Linked DNA regions of Stegostoma tigrinum. The protein of the gene in region 2 binds, or shares a complex with, the protein of the main gene of each other region. Links are inferred from orthologs where the notes say so. Each region holds a gene or a part of one and is shown on either strand. Other genes may lie near its edges.

Region 1 (7,244 bases), on a different chromosome or scaffold from region 2:
TGCATGATTTTCTCCAGCAATTCCTACTGTGTGGAAACACGCCATTAAGCCCTATATAAGTCCACACCAACTCTCGGAGGAATACTCTACTTGGAGTACTCTTTGATTTATGTTAAAATAGTCACTGAGAGAGTGGAGAAAGATTAAGTGAAATATTTTTGCACAGAGGATTGTTGAAAGATTGAATGTTTTGCCAAAGGGCATAGTGAGATAGAAATTGCATCTTCTGAGGTAAATTGTTTCAATATTTGAATTGGATGAAGATCCAGTGTTGTGGAATGAATTGGACAGTAGGATTAGTTTTGAGTTGCTTGAGAACAGTTGCTACAGGCAAGGTGGACAACTAATATTCTCCTTATAAACATCCACAGCACTATGCTGAGTAGCTGGTTTGAGAACTGTATAGAACTCTATGTAAAGTTTTGACCCCAGTGACTGCATGATTGGGCATGATGCCTCTGACTGTAACTGTGCAAACGTTTAAGGTATTAAACACCTTCCAAACCTGCCTTGTGCTGATATTAAATCCACTGTTTTTGTTCAAAAACTCATTCATCCCTGTAACTGTTCTGAAATTGGCAATATTAGACAGGCAGAGAGAGATGTAATAGGAGTGTATAATGCACTTCTTTAGAAAGTAAGTCCTATATTACTCCAGTGAAACCTATTGTGGGGAAATAAATTATGCATCTGTTGAGTTTTTTTCTGTTGATCTGTGATTAATAAATTTTGTGACTCCCTTTCCTCTCAGATGTTGAATGCAATCTATATTTACCTTCTAATGGTCCCCTTCAGGCATATAATAACTCACTGTTGTTGCATTCCAATATGACAGTATTGCAATGAGGACGTCAAAGGGAGGTATGCAGTCTGTTCATTCAAATATAGTTAAATTCTTAAATATAATAGGATGGCATAGACACAAAGGAATATGATTTTCAGAATTAAAATCTTTGAGCTGTAGCATTATGATTGCCTGCAATCAGTGAGGTTTTGATGTTGAAAAGTAAATTATACCAGTTACGTTAGGGGGCTACCTTTAATAGAGCTCACTGAACTTGCTGCTTGGTTCTGCCAGCCCTGCTTGTATAAGTTTGCATTTTACCCTCACTTTCCCATTAATAGCAACTACAGTTTGTAGGTTAGTTTCAGTTTGCAATATGTACCTAACCTCTACACCTGTCTTGCACGGTAGAACAAGAGGCGCGCATCAAAATGGGTCTGCTTCTGGTAATTTACATGAAGTATGGATATCAATTAGGTACAAATCTCCCAAAAACCTCTATTTTAATTAATGGAATATAACATTCCTAAGTACGTCTGAACATATTGCCATGTGAACACAGCGGTTGAAATACAGTAACTGATTTGGAAAGGGAAACTCAAACAGCAGCAGCCCCCAGCTGAAAGGGCAGAACTGGGTGAAACAACAGGCTGTGGGTTACAATGGCAGGATAAAGTCAGAGATACTTTGAGTCAATTTCCTGGAAAAACCAGTGGCACTGTGGAGTTAGAGCACCATCTAGATTCTAGACCAAGAGGCAAAGGCCAAGGATTTGGAGACCCAGCAATCTTAACAGCAGGATCTTACTTAAATCTAGGCAAAAATTAGCCAGAGAGGTGGGTCAGAGTAAAGGCTCAGTGTCAGTGGGCTGCAGCTTGGGACTTGCAGCCCATTGGTCATTTCTGGAGGAGGAAGACATCAGGCATGACAGTGAGGCAGAGAGTTCAAGTCTGCAGAGGCTGGCAGCTTCCTCTTCAGGCTTGGGAGGATCATTTCCACAATAGAATTACAAGAAACTTAAATTCCTTGTCCCAGCCATTTTTAGCCACTCAGTTCCTCCCTCTTGCTGCTGCCAAGCACAGCCAGTGCTGCTATCTTTGGATCTGGGATTAATCATTTGTTTTTGTTTCAAGTTCTGCTTGAATTCTCTGAAATATCTGTGCTGTAGTAAATTTCTAACCTGTCACATTCTAACTTGTTTGTGGATTGCGAGTTGAACCTTTGCCATGTAACCAGTACCTCTGAATGAACAGCTCTGAGGAGACATTTTGAGACTAACAGGATTAGATGGGTTCGATACAGAAAGGGATGTTCCTGATGGTAGAATTGTCCAGAATCAGGGGTTATACTTTTAGGGTAAGGGGTAAACCTTTTAGGACTGAAGTAAGGTGAAATTTCTTCACCCAGAGAGTGGTAAGCCTGTGGAATTCATCACAGAATGTGGTTGAGTCCAAAACTTTGAGTTTTCAAGAAGGAAGTAAACATAGGTTTTGTGGCTAGAGTGATATGGTGCAGGGGTGGGGGGTGGTGCTGCGGAGTGGAGGAGGTGGTGTTGAGAGTTCTGATCTTTATGGTCAGCCATGTCCATATTGAATGGTGGTGAAGTGTTGAATGTCCGCCTATGCTCCTGCTTCCCTCTTCCATGTCTGTATGTGCAGTCTGTGGGATAGTGCTGGTAACTGGGCTGGGTGTGCAGGCAATGTGGTAAAGCCAAGAAAGAGGGATGAATCAGAACAGATAGCTGAATGAGACCTGACCTTCAGATCCTGTTTTGAGTGTGTGGCCTAACTACCTACCCCCACCCTCCCCCGTGTACTTGCGCGCACACACAGTCACCAACCCTGTGTCCTGCACTGTTGTTGCTCTGTCCAAGCTTCCATCCTACAACTCCTACACGCAGTATCCTCACACTGTGCTGGTCTTTTATTCCTTCATTCACTTGACCACCAGCCCTGACCCAACAATCCACCTTACCTGGGGGAAAATAACTGTACAAGATCGGTGATACTGGAAAATGGACATAACCAGTTGTACCAGACTTCTGTTTTGAAGAATATAATAGAAGATGGACCAATATGTGTCTTTCGCCACTTTCTATTTCTTTCTTCATGAATAACATTTTACTGAATCCATTGAGTCTCCACTCCAGCACCACCTCCCATGCTCATTGCTCGCTCGTGGCTCCTATCCATCTCCAGGCAGACTAAGGCTGATATAATGTCAGATGGATTAAGCACCAAGGGTACAAGAAGCACAAGAATATTGTACCAGAAATATCGGAGGTGAGTTGTCACATTACCAAAAGGATGTGGATGCTTTGGAGAGGTTGCAGAGGTGGTTCACCAGGCTGTTGCCTGGTATGGAGGGCACTAGCTATTATTTTAATTAGAAAGATGGAGATTGAGGGGGGAACCTGATTGAGGTCTACAAAATTGAGGGGTATAGACAAGGTGGATAGCAAAAGCTTTTTTCCAGAGTGGGGGACTCAATTACTAGGGGTCACGAGTTCAAAGTGAGAGGAGGAAAGTTCATGGGAGATGTGTGGAAGGTTCTTTACGCAGGGGGTGGTGGGTGCCTGGAATGCGTTGCCAGCAGAGGTGGTAGACACACACGATAGTGTCTTTTAAGACGTATCTGGACAGGTACATGGATGGGCAGGGAGCAAAGGGATACAGACCCTTAGAAAATAGATGACAGGTTTAGACAGAGGACCTTGATCTGCCTAGGCTTGGAGGGCCGAAGGGCCTGTTCCTGTGCTGTAATTTTCTTTGTTCTTTGAGTGGTGCCCTGGAGTCAAACGCTTGACGCAAGGTGGCCAACTGTATTTTAAGGAATTGTCCTTTGGCATTACCCTGAGTCCTTTGGCAAAATAGGCCTTTTGCCCCATACCTCTACAGCTTGTGGGAGACTGATCCTATCTTCAAGCTGAATTATGTAAGAATGACTGCTGGTGAATGAGAGGGCAAGCAGATAGGTAATGATATTGTGATTCATCAAGATAAAGTTGCAAGTTCTAATTGATTTTGACTTCACCCCTGCTCCCCCATCCTTTGCTGTTACTGGCTGTAAGAACTGACTAATCCCACTGCACTCTCGGGCCCATTCTCACAGTCAGCTGCACTCACTCACTGTGCTCACTTTATCAAAATGTTCTGTGCTTTATTCCATAAGAAGTGGTCATCTTGCTGTGGGACTATCACCTTAAAAAAAAACTCTGTAAAGTATAGGACACCCTATCTGTATATGTCCCAGTTCTACCTGCTGTGCAGTCTTAAATAATTTGAAGGGTGCAGTTACTCTTTAAAGCAGTCGGGTTTTCTATCCTGTCGCCTGATTCATTAAATGTTTTAGGTGTTACGTTTGCCTGCTGTGCAAATTTCACTACTGCTGAGCTTTTCCATTGATTGGCTCCGACACAGGAAGTTTCATCATGTGTATTGCCAGTGTTCAGGGTTGTTGAGAATTCACTTCACCAGTACAGCAACAGCTGTTACTGTCTTTGTTCAGGTAATGTAGCGTCAAGTACTTTATAGACTTGGAGCTTAAATCCTTCTGCCATTTCCAGACAGTTCTGTTACTTTAACATGTAAAATTTATGGCTCTCCTTTCTCTAGAGATATTTGTAAAATGCAGCTACATTGCTAGTGAAGGATGACTGACAATGAAAACAGGCAGCCAGAGGTTACAGGAGGGGGTCTGTCTGGGGAGTATATCTCCAACCCACTGATGAGTGGTAAGTCAAATTACTTTATAACTAACAAGGAGAAGTGAGTGTCTGTTGCAATTCTGATCGCTTTTATGCTGTGCTTTTAATGGTAGTTGTCCTTGAGACACTAACATATAAGAAGAACACAATGTGCTTCCTGTTTCAACTGTTCTGATAGAAAACATCGTCCGGTCAAACTCTTGTCGTCTGTAAGTCAGGGGTTCCTATTTGGAGACGACCGCAAAAAAAACCCAAGGCTGACATTCCTCTGCAGTAACAGAGGAGTGCTGCACTCCCATCATTCAGATAAGACATTGGACTAAGGGCCTATCTGAAAATACCATTTTTAAACAAGAACTAGAGAATTATCCAACGTGCTAGCCGAACATTTACCCTCTTCCATCACAAATCAATGCTGTTTTTGGGTGCTTGTTAGGTATAATTTGGCTGCCATGTTTACAGCAGTGACCGCACTTTAAAAGTACTTTGGAAGTTGAGCACTTTGGAATGTCCCGGGTTTGAAACATTTTATTTGTTCATGTGATGTGGGCTATCACTGGCTTTAAAAAAAAATCATTCTATGAATTACAGTTCTCCACCCTTTGTGTCCCAGTTCCACTTTCAATGTAGTCCTAAATAGTTTGAAGAATGTGTAGTTATTCTTCAAAGTAATCAAGATTTCTGCAGTCTGGCTAGGGCTGTTTAAGGCGTAATGTCTGCCTGCTCTGCAAATTTCATTCTACTTTCCATGGATTCCAACACAGCAGCGTTTATTGCCCTCCTCTAATTGCCCTAGATTGTGGTTGTAAGCTTCCTTCTTGATCCCATTTGGTGTAGGTAAAGAGAGTTTTTCCAGTAAGGAGAGAATTCCAGGATTTTAGGTCAAAATATACTATATAAAAGCAAGTTGTTTTTCTTTCTTTTCATATCACTAGTTAAATGTGCATTTGGAATAACTGGGTTTAAAGTCACCATTTAAATGTGCACAGTGATGTGAGGCCCAATTGCTTTTACAAAAGCGCAATGGTGTTGTTAGGGGGTGGTCACTCACATTTTGGATCCCAAACTTGGTTCATTTTGTCGGAAAGATAAAGTTGGTTTAAATAAGATTTCAACTAGTGAATGTTACTCATTTGTAATCTCTTAATTCTAGCTGCTGCCTCAGATGTATAAAATGCAATTTTGATGTCTAGAATTGGAGCATTGATAAAAAAAATTACCTCCAGTACGGTTCAACAGAAGCTTCAGAAACGTTCATGGTCATCTTATTCGGTGATTTCTTGCAGTCTTGACTTGTATTTATTTTGTAGCTTTTCACAACCTGTGCTGCAGGTAATGAAACATCATTGAGATTTACTCATTGGTGCAGCTATTGGTCAGGGCACTGCAAAAAGACTCACCCACTCTTCTTTAAAATATGGGATTTTATTTTGCATCTGCTTGAGAGAGCATGTTTGAGGAGTTTGGTTGTGGGGGAGTGGAGAGGTTGAGGGTTTGGTTACTTGGGCAATCTGAAATCTTCAACCCGTCAGCAGCTCTGGGAAAATACTTAGCTGCTGTGTTCATCTGCTCCCATCTTTCTTAAGCTGGCAACTAGCTCTGATATCCCAGGCCATAGAAAATAGGCTTTCCAAAAAAAATCCCATTTCTAATGGAGGTGCGGCTTGAGGTGGGACGAGGGGTTAGGTGAGAGGAAGAACAGGTTAGGGAGGTGGGGACGAGCTGGGCTGGTTTTGTGATGCAGTACGGGAAGGGGACGAGCTGGGCTGGTTTTGGGATGTGGTGGGGGAGGGGGAGATTTTGAAGCTGGTGAAGTCCACATTGATACCATTGGGCTGCAGGGTTCCCAAGCGGAAAATGAGTTGCTGTTCCTGCAACCTTCGGGTGGCATCATTGTGGCACTGCAGGAGGCCCATGATGGACGTGTTGTCTAAAGAATGGGAGGGGGGAGTTAAAATGGTTCGCGACTGGGAGGTGCAGTGGTTTATTGCGAAGCGAGCGGAGGTGTTCTGCAAAGCGGTCCCCAAGCCTCCGCTTGGTTTCCCCAATGTAGAGGAAGCCACACCAGGTACATCCTGTCACCTATCCCCTCCTCCCACCTCAAGCCGCACCTCCATTTCCTACCTACCAACCTCATCCCGCCTCCTTGACCTGTCCGTCCTCCCTGGACTGACCTATCCTCTCCCCATCTATACTCTCCTCTCCACCTATCTTCTCCTCTATCCATCTTCGGTCTGCCTCCCCCTGCCTCCCTATTTATTTCAGAACCCTCTCCCCATTCCCCCTCTCTGATGAAGGGTCTCAGCCCGAAACGCCAGCATTTGTGCTCCTGAGATGCTGCTTGGCCTGCTGTGTTCATCCAGCTTCACACTTTGTTATCTTGGATTCTCCAGCATCTCCAGTTCTCATTATCTCTGATCCATTTCTAATAACCAGTTTAGTTAATTTCTCTGAACATCTTGTGCCTGTTCTTGAAGATGACTAAATTATCCCACAGAATCAACTTCTCAATGGAAAATGACTGCTCATCTGCATCAGATGAATATATTTTGAGGGCACCGTTAACTTTTACAGAACCTTTTTTCATTCAAAAATATTCCTCATTAATTCAGAGAGTGTTAGAATCTTGGCAGAGGGAGGAGTGCTACTTCTGTCTACAGATGTTGTTTGACGTGCTGAGTTTTTCTAGCAATTTCTCTTTTTGTTTCTGATTGGCAACATTTCCTCTATATATAAAATTTGATGGTAAAGTTT
Region 2 (7,901 bases):
GCAAATCACAAGTCATGTTTTTCTAGTTCCATTAAAGGCATCATAGGAAGCTATATAAAAAATAAACTCTCCAAGCAGAGATTCTAGATGTTAAAAATGTGGTGTCAAAACAGAAATCAGTAGGTTCTACAGTTTGCACAACATTAAATAATGTTAGCAAATGCTCTGGCAAAAAACATTAACCTTGTAGTACTACCAGTATAATGCCAGTCAAAAATCCTTCCAGCAGCAGTTTTACATCTCATTTACTTTTCACGTAAAAATAAAGACACAATCCATTGAATTCCCTCCTTGATGGTATTGTGGATCAACCCACAGCAGGTGGGCAGCTGCAGTTCAAGGCGGCAGCTCACCAACACCTCCAAGCCCTAAGGGCTTGGCAATAAGTCACTGGCTGGCCAGCCAGCAAGGCCCACATCCCATAAGTGAATTTTTAAAGAATTCCATATAGAGACTCCTCACCTTGAGATTCTCATGGTTAAGATCAGTTTTATGCTTATCAGTAGGTTTGTAGCCACCATGACGGTCCTGAATGACTGGATCAAAGAGGTCCTTAAAAACCATATAGGATTCTTCGTCACCAGCAACACAACCTACTGTCATAATATATGGATGACCTGTACAGGGAAAAAAGAGAAAAGCACTCTTTCATTGGATATAACAATTGGTAATTAAATCTGGCAGAGTTAGAATTTTAACTAGAAGGCAAGGAGAGCAGAAAAGAATAATTTAAAAAAGGTACTGAGCAACAGAAATATGTCACTGATGAACGGTCTAGGCCCGAAACGACAGCTTTGGTGCTCCTCAGGTGCTGCTTGGCCTGCTGTGTTCATCCAGCTTCACACTGTTATCTCAAATATGCTGCTTACAGCATTTTTGATTGAAAATTTTTGTTCCCAATATTAGAATTGGATCGCAATACTGACAATTGAAGGGTTCCAAATATCTGCTTACTTCAAGTGAGTTGAGAGAGAGGGTACAGAACCCAGCAAAACGGTCACTTAATGATTCACAAGGACACGTCTCACGTTCCTTTGACAATCGGGAGTTTACTGCGGGGAGGCGGAAAAGTCAGCCGGGCCACTAAAACACTACAGTTTAACGCGATTAGAGAAGGAACTCGACACACTCATCCAGCCGACTGGAAGGTTTTACAGGGGTTATCAATCCCTGTACATCATCCAAAGTAAAGCCACCTGGAGTGGCCTTGTTTTTGGAGTTTCTTGCACAGCACTTGGACCATGTGCTTTTCGCGTTTGCTCAGATCAGGGGGACTCTCCTGGCCATAATCTCTTGAGTTTCAACACTGGAGGTGCGGGGGAAGTCACACCCAGATGGAAGTGAAAAATCAAACATAAATAGGACGGATCACATCCCAGACACCATCTACCATTCGTCTACAGCAGGTCGCTGCCGCGCTTGGTGTAATGCAAACCGATCCAATCCATCGAGGCTCACAGCCTAGAGGCTAGGGAAAAACAAAATCAGAGCACTTTAAATTTAAAGTGGAAATACCATGTAATAAATGATCCGTTTAATGATGATGGACATGACAGGCTGTATTGACAGCTGATCAGGATCGGGATTAGTTTACATTTTCCAACTGATTTCGTACAGCCTTTGGAAAGCAACACTCCTGTACAGAGAAAAGCAGATAGCTCGTTACAGTGCGGTTTTACCTGGGTTGTCAACCCCAGTCTGAATGGCATCGTCAAGGGTAAATCCGCTGGAGGTTTGCTTATCTCTCAGCTTGCTGTACGTCTCCAGGGTCAGGATTTTAGCCATGTGGTTATTGTGTTGGCTCAAATCCGGGAATTCTTCTTTCGCGGAATGCTTCATCTTCAGAAGGTTGTGGCTGTTGCTGAATGGCATAGTAACCGCTTCTGCTGCGGACGCAAACCAGAGTTTTGGAAATCGCATTAAAAATACGAATTTCTAATAATCAGACTTTGAATAGTTTCCGTCCAGCTCTTTAAAAATACGACTGAGACCCATTTGCGGCTTTTTTAAAAATCACGCCATTCAGCAAGAACGCTGGTTTCTAAACCGTGAATTCGAGAACACGAGTTATTCGAAATTTGCAGTGTGCTTGAAGCAAATGGTGTAAATAAACTTCTGAGCGATAATAGCAAAGTCTCTAGCATCTTTCAGACACATCTTACGTTTCGAGGTCTCGATTACCGTTATCAAGGTTACTAAAAACGATTTCGTGATTTTATTTGAAGAGATGGATTTTTGACATTGAGATTAATACTTTTGCCCTTCCGACATTGTCTTGTACTTCTATATCGCTGAAAAGACACTATTGGATTCTCAAATAACCTTCCAATTACGTAAATTCCTCGTCCTTCGTGACCCTTTCCCGTTGTATTGTATGCAACATTTGAGGACAATTCAAGTACAGCAGCTATTTAAGTGTTAAAGTCCAGATGTCACAGATTAAAACCAATGGATTAGCCCAAATGCCATTCTTGATCCTTTCCAAGCTTGCTGGAATCTATCTTAAATGCACAAAATTAGATTTGAATGTGTTTTCAATATTAGAAGCATTTTACTCCCTAGGAAACTTTCATTAACATAAAGACAATCTATGAACTAATTTAAAAATTCCTTCAATACTGCTTTACTAATCAGTCAATGCACGGAAGAATGCTCGGAGCAAACATACATCCAAATGAATTATTTTGGAGGCAGGGAATGAGGAATACTTCATTAAACTAAAACATGCAACCACAGCTGACGCTTTCGTTTCATAGCAAAATAATTTTAATTCATCTTTTCGAATACTTTGCAATTTATACGAAGACAGTTACACTGATGCATTTTTGCTAGAGATGCATTCAGATTAAATACTAAACGGCTTTGTAACAAAACGATGCAAATTATTGGATAGCGTTTAAATTGTTTTTTTCTTTAAATAACCTTACCTGAATGACGAGAATTTTAAGAAGCCGATTTAATTCTCAGCCTGCTCTTCCCTCCTCAGCCTATCTCCACGTTACCCTGATTGGTGTCCGAGCGCCCCGCACGTCCCCATTGAATTATATAGCGCGGCGAGGCTGCGCTGCTATTGGCTGCTACTTTTAACCCCGTTCACACCATGAACTGTCAATCAAAGGGGATTTCTGCGCATCATCACCGCGCGCCCAAGGGCATGTGCTGTGACCTCATCAGCGTGCGTCGCGTTTGCCTGGGCACCGTTCGTGGCGTGGGGGCTGGTGAGTTTTTGCATTCTGTTGTCACGTGTTGTCAAATAATTTCTTCAAGACAGAAGCGTTAAAAGTAAAACCTGCAAGGTTATGCCGAGGTGTTCGTTAGGATTGGTGGCGTTCAGAGGTTATGCGTGTACCTATGTGTAGGAGGACCCTGTTAAAGCAGGTGGTGTTGCTAGTGTATCGTTACCAACACCAGGTCGTAGTTTTGCATTATATACTGAATTCAGTTTAGTTTAAGTCTGGGCACCCATGAGGCGACTTCTGGACCACAAACAGTAGAATTGTAATCAAGAACGACCTGCAAATTCATTGCACTGTATATCTCTCAACCGACCTTGTCACCAAGCCAGAGAATTGACCAGCTGAGAACATAAGCAGCATCATGTCTTCCTTAGAATGAGTCAATGACACTCTGATCAAGCGTGTCCTACGTGTATGCTAAATTGCAGAAGTGTGATGGACAGAGCAAAATACTCCACATTTTCTTTGTTAAAACCTTAAATCCCACAATCAATGGATCAGGGCAAAACTGGTAGGTCCTGGTAGGTTTAATTATATATGAGGAATATTAAAGCAGTCAGTAGAGGAGATTCTACAAAAGTCACCATCCTCACTGATTGGAACCTAGTATGTCCGTGCAAATGAAGCTAAAGCATTTCAACTATCTTTAGCCAGAAGTCTTAACAGGGTGGTGCATCTTGGTCTTTCCTGAGGTCCCAAGCAGCAGATACTTTTTTTTAGGGAAGACAATCTATCATCCTTAGCCATACTGGCCTACATGTGCCTCTCGACCCACAGCAATATGGTCAATTCCTAACTGCCACCTGAAGGCTTAGAAAGTCGCTCGATTCAAGGGATATTGATATGACTAACAAATCCTGATCTCGTCAATGATGCTCTTATGAAATAATGAAAAAGAAAATGGATATAAGTATGGGCAGTCACAGCAACTTGGTGTTAGTACTAAAGATGTCATCCAGAATCACCCATGCATGTTGCCAAGATGTTTCAGTATAACTACAACATTGGCATTACCTGCCCTCCAAGTCATACATTATTTTGTCTTCTCTTGAAAAACAAGTCTAATCCAATCTGGCCAATTACCACTCGATCAGTAAATACTCAATCCAAAGCAATGTCAGGAATGACATAATTGTTTGTGCTTTTAAATGGCACTTAACTCTGCAATCAGAGATAGTAAGAACTGCTTAATCAGTTTGTTAGTACTCCATTTGAGTTCCACTAGCGTTATGAACTTCTGACATATTAACAACCTTGATCTGACCATGCTTAATCAAGTTGAAATCAAGAGGAGAGGTGAGAGTACTGATCCTGAATCAAGATAGTATTTTGGATGTAGATTCAAGGACCATTAGCAAAGGTTAAATCAATGAGAGTCTTGAATAATTCTCCATTGGTTGGAATCATAACTGGCATTTAGGAAATCGGTTGTAGTTGTTGGAGACAGTTGATCGGAAATTCAGAACAACAGCTTCTCAGTAGTTTCCGAGGCCTGACCATTTTCAATGTTTTTCTTCTTCATAGTGTCAGAATTGGGGATATTACCTAATTGCACAATAACCTGTACCCTTTTCAACTCCTTATACTGAAGCTGTTTGTGCCAGTTTAGGCTGATAAGTGACATTTGTGTCACTCAAGTCCCAGGAAGTTAGTATTTCTAACAGGGGAAGATCTATCCATCTTTCCTTCACATTTCAATTCTATTACAATTACTAAATTTCGTATTATCAACATCCTCAGGATTACCATTGACTAGACTGAACCGGCTATTCAAATACATAAGCTCCAAGATCAAAACAGATGTTGGATGTTTTGCAGTGAGGAATTAACCTGCAGACTCCCCACTGCACATCTACATTTATGAGATGCATCAGAAGTGTGATGGAATCCTCTTCATTTGCCTGAGGATAGCTCAAATGATATTCAAGAAACTGAATGCCATTCAGGACAAAGCCCACTTGATAGGCACCTGACCCACCACCATAAGCGTTCCCTCCCTCTGCCACCCGCAGCGTTTTAGCAGTGACGTATCCTTTACAAAATACACTGCAACAGCCTTCGACAGGGATAGGGAACCTGCAGCCTTCTGCCTGTTTGTCCACCAATACTACATCCACCTTTTTAAATCTGTGTATTACTTCAAAATTTTTTACTGGTAATCCTGTCACATCAAAAACTAAAAGAACATTAAAGGGAGAGAACAGTATTCAATGAAGAATGGGAATTGTAGTCTGTGAAAGATTAAATGATGTATTTGCTCTGCGATGCCATAATTGTAACAGTAAAGCAATACAATGCAAAGCAGCATGATGCAACTCATGAGGACCACAAATATGCTAAACTGGAAGGGGAACCCTAAAAGTCTGCACTTACGAAAATGAAAGATCAAAAGCAGCAGCAAGTATTTCAGACAATGTCAGGACAATGGACTGACTTCATTGAAGCGATTTATAAAATAGTATATATACTTGGAAGAAGAGGTAAGCTATTTAGCAATGTGGAAATCAATAAAGAATGCATTGTTGAAGTTGTCGGATGTTTAGATTCGGATAAGCTTAATAAGTAAAGACAACTACGTCTCAATTGGGACTATAACTGATCAGCAACATGAATTAGCCCTCCACATAACAGAACAACTTCATATGCCAAAGTGAGGACATTTATTATTTGATTGCCATGGATAAACCCACTGACATTACTGACTTAGCGCAGGTGTTAGGTTTTATTTGTGTTATTACTGTGGATTTTCATTGCCCTGAGGAGTTACTGGCTTTGGGTACCCTTAAAGTGAGGACACATGGAATTGACATCTTTACTGTTTTCAAAGAAAAATGCCATGAAGCAAAACTGAATTTATGAAGTGTATGCACAGAAGGTGCACCTTCCAGGAGAGGAAAACATGAAGGATTTATTGCATTACTTCAAAAAGAATTACCAGATCCAGATACTTTGATTTCCTTTCATTGTCTTTTGCATCAACAGAATCTCTATGCCAAATCTGAAGTTTTAGGTGTCACACAAAATAAAGTTATAGGTACTGTAAACTACATTCGAGCAAATGGATCCAGTGTCACCAGTTTCATAACATAATTCATCTTGATGGTGAAACATTCAGTGTGGATCTGCCAAATCATTCTAAAAGTGCACTGGTTGTCACAAAGACAAATACTCAAAACTTTTACATTTGCAAAAACAAGTTACGATTTATTTTGAAGAACTAAATGAACTGTGTGAATTGTCAAAAAGGGATTTCTGCAGAAATGCTGCATATTTGTGTGACATAATATCAAAGCAAAATGATCTGGTTTTTTTTTGCAAAATAATACTAAATCTATATATAATATGTGACAAAAAATCCAGGCGTTTTGGAAAAAGCTGACCTTTTTCAATACGCTCCCTACTTGACCAGAACTTTCAGCTGAACACTTTGCTGAGTGGCAAAGGTAATTAATGAACAAAGTACATGTAAATCATTAAGGAAATGTGACGTGAAAGAATGCACAGCTGTTCTAGACTCCTCCCTGATTGAAGAATACGGTGAAAGGTTCGCAGATTTTGAGAAACATGGTCTTACACTGAAACTAGCTTTTCAACCATGCCTGGTTGCTGTCTCCAAAGCACCTGATGACTTACAGATGGAATTGATTGAGTGCTCAGAAGATAATATTCTGAAGTCTCTTTGACATTAAGAAGAATCCCATTGAAAAATGGAAAAATGCCATTGAATACCCACGTCTACGTCAATGCCCTCAGCAAATGCTGTCTTGTTTTGGCACAACCTACTGTTGTGATACACACTTTCATATGTGACTCAAGTTAAAATGTCCTTTGAGATCACAGATGATAGATATTCACCTGGAGGACCAATTAAAGCTACGTCAACCATGTTGGAACCAAATATCTGATTCCTGTGTCACAATAAACAAATCAAAAATGTCTGTAAATAGTTTGTTGTCCACATTTTTTACTTATTATTAGTTCTGTTGTCAACTTTGCCAAACAAATAAATGCGTCTTTGAGATTTTATTTTGTTTAAAGCCCTCCTATAATAGCAGGCTTTAATTTAAAGTGAGTAAATATATTGACAAAAATATGATGTTTTGTTGTACATATTAAATTCTCAGCATGCGGCTGAATAGCATCTCTGTTAAATAAAATGTGGCCTAACCCTGGCCTATGACTTCTATCGCCTGTAGAAGTCAAGGCAGCAGACATGTGGGAAGCCACTTAATTTTAGCTACATTTGAAGCAGACTGTCCATCAGTTTAGAACTTATGATAAACTCTGAATTTGATCTGATCTTGCAAATTTATGTGCTTCTCAAAGAAGTGCTGTAGAATAGAATTCTTTGGCTTGGTGTCAGGTAGCGCCTCGTCAGACAGCCAAAAGCAGAATAATGTTGCCTGTACTTTGGAATCTAAACCACAAAGTGTCCTTGTGCTTTCTTTGAGTGGGGAAGTCATTTTCTTTAGTAATTAGGTGGCAAATTAAGGTAGTTTGTTTTGAGAAACTGCTTAGGCTAACTGAGCTTAAGAACCTTGCCAAACAGTTAACTGTACAGTTGAGTCAGATTTGTTCTTGGAGGTGAATAGTTTACAAATTCAGGGGATGTATGACCCAGCTCCCAATGATTTTTACACCATAACCACTTCAGTAACGATACAC

What was found. The genes of interacting proteins can lie anywhere in the genome.
Region 1: the proteins of creatine kinase B-type (region 2) and ankyrin repeat and SOCS box protein 9-like are in contact, whole or in part, in a cryo-EM structure (PDB 6V9H), measured with the Homo sapiens proteins. The link is inferred for Stegostoma tigrinum from reciprocal best matches to the Homo sapiens genes CKB and ASB9. Residues at the interface, in NP_001814.2 of Homo sapiens: Asn63, Pro64, Gly65, His66, Pro67, Tyr68, Ile69, Thr71, Arg130, Arg132, His191, Val198, Ser199, Pro200, Leu201, Leu202, Leu226, Trp228, Glu232, Ile238, Met240, Asn286, Arg292, Gly303, Lys304, His305, Glu306, Lys319, Arg320, Gly321; in NP_001026909.1 of Homo sapiens: Leu25, Asn27, Pro28, Leu29, Met30, Gly31, Asp32, Ala33, Val34, Ser35, Asp36, Trp37, Pro39, Glu42, Ile45, His46, Trp60, Ala67, Asp68, His69, Glu75, Ala100, Asp101, Trp102, Val111, Asp133, Leu134, Ser165, His166.

The regions. Positions count from the first base shown.
Region 1 is NC_081365.1:76,134,798-76,142,041, reverse strand, and holds the start of ankyrin repeat and SOCS box protein 9-like, read left to right. Parts: upstream 1-4,138; 5' UTR 4,139-4,291; intron 4,292-4,398; 5' UTR 4,399-4,435; coding exon 4,436-4,517; intron 4,518-7,244. UniProt on the Homo sapiens protein: Substrate-recognition component of a cullin-5-RING E3 ubiquitin-protein ligase complex (ECS complex, also named CRL5 complex), which mediates the ubiquitination and subsequent proteasomal degradation of target proteins.
Region 2 is NC_081363.1:40,273,515-40,281,415, forward strand, and holds the start of creatine kinase B-type, read right to left. Parts: upstream 3,049-7,901; 5' UTR 2,928-3,048; intron 1,887-2,927; exon of another isoform or gene 1,884-1,886; 5' UTR 1,873-1,883; coding exon 1,680-1,872; intron 618-1,679; coding exon 463-617; intron 1-462. UniProt on the Homo sapiens protein: Reversibly catalyzes the transfer of phosphate between ATP and various phosphogens (e.g. creatine phosphate).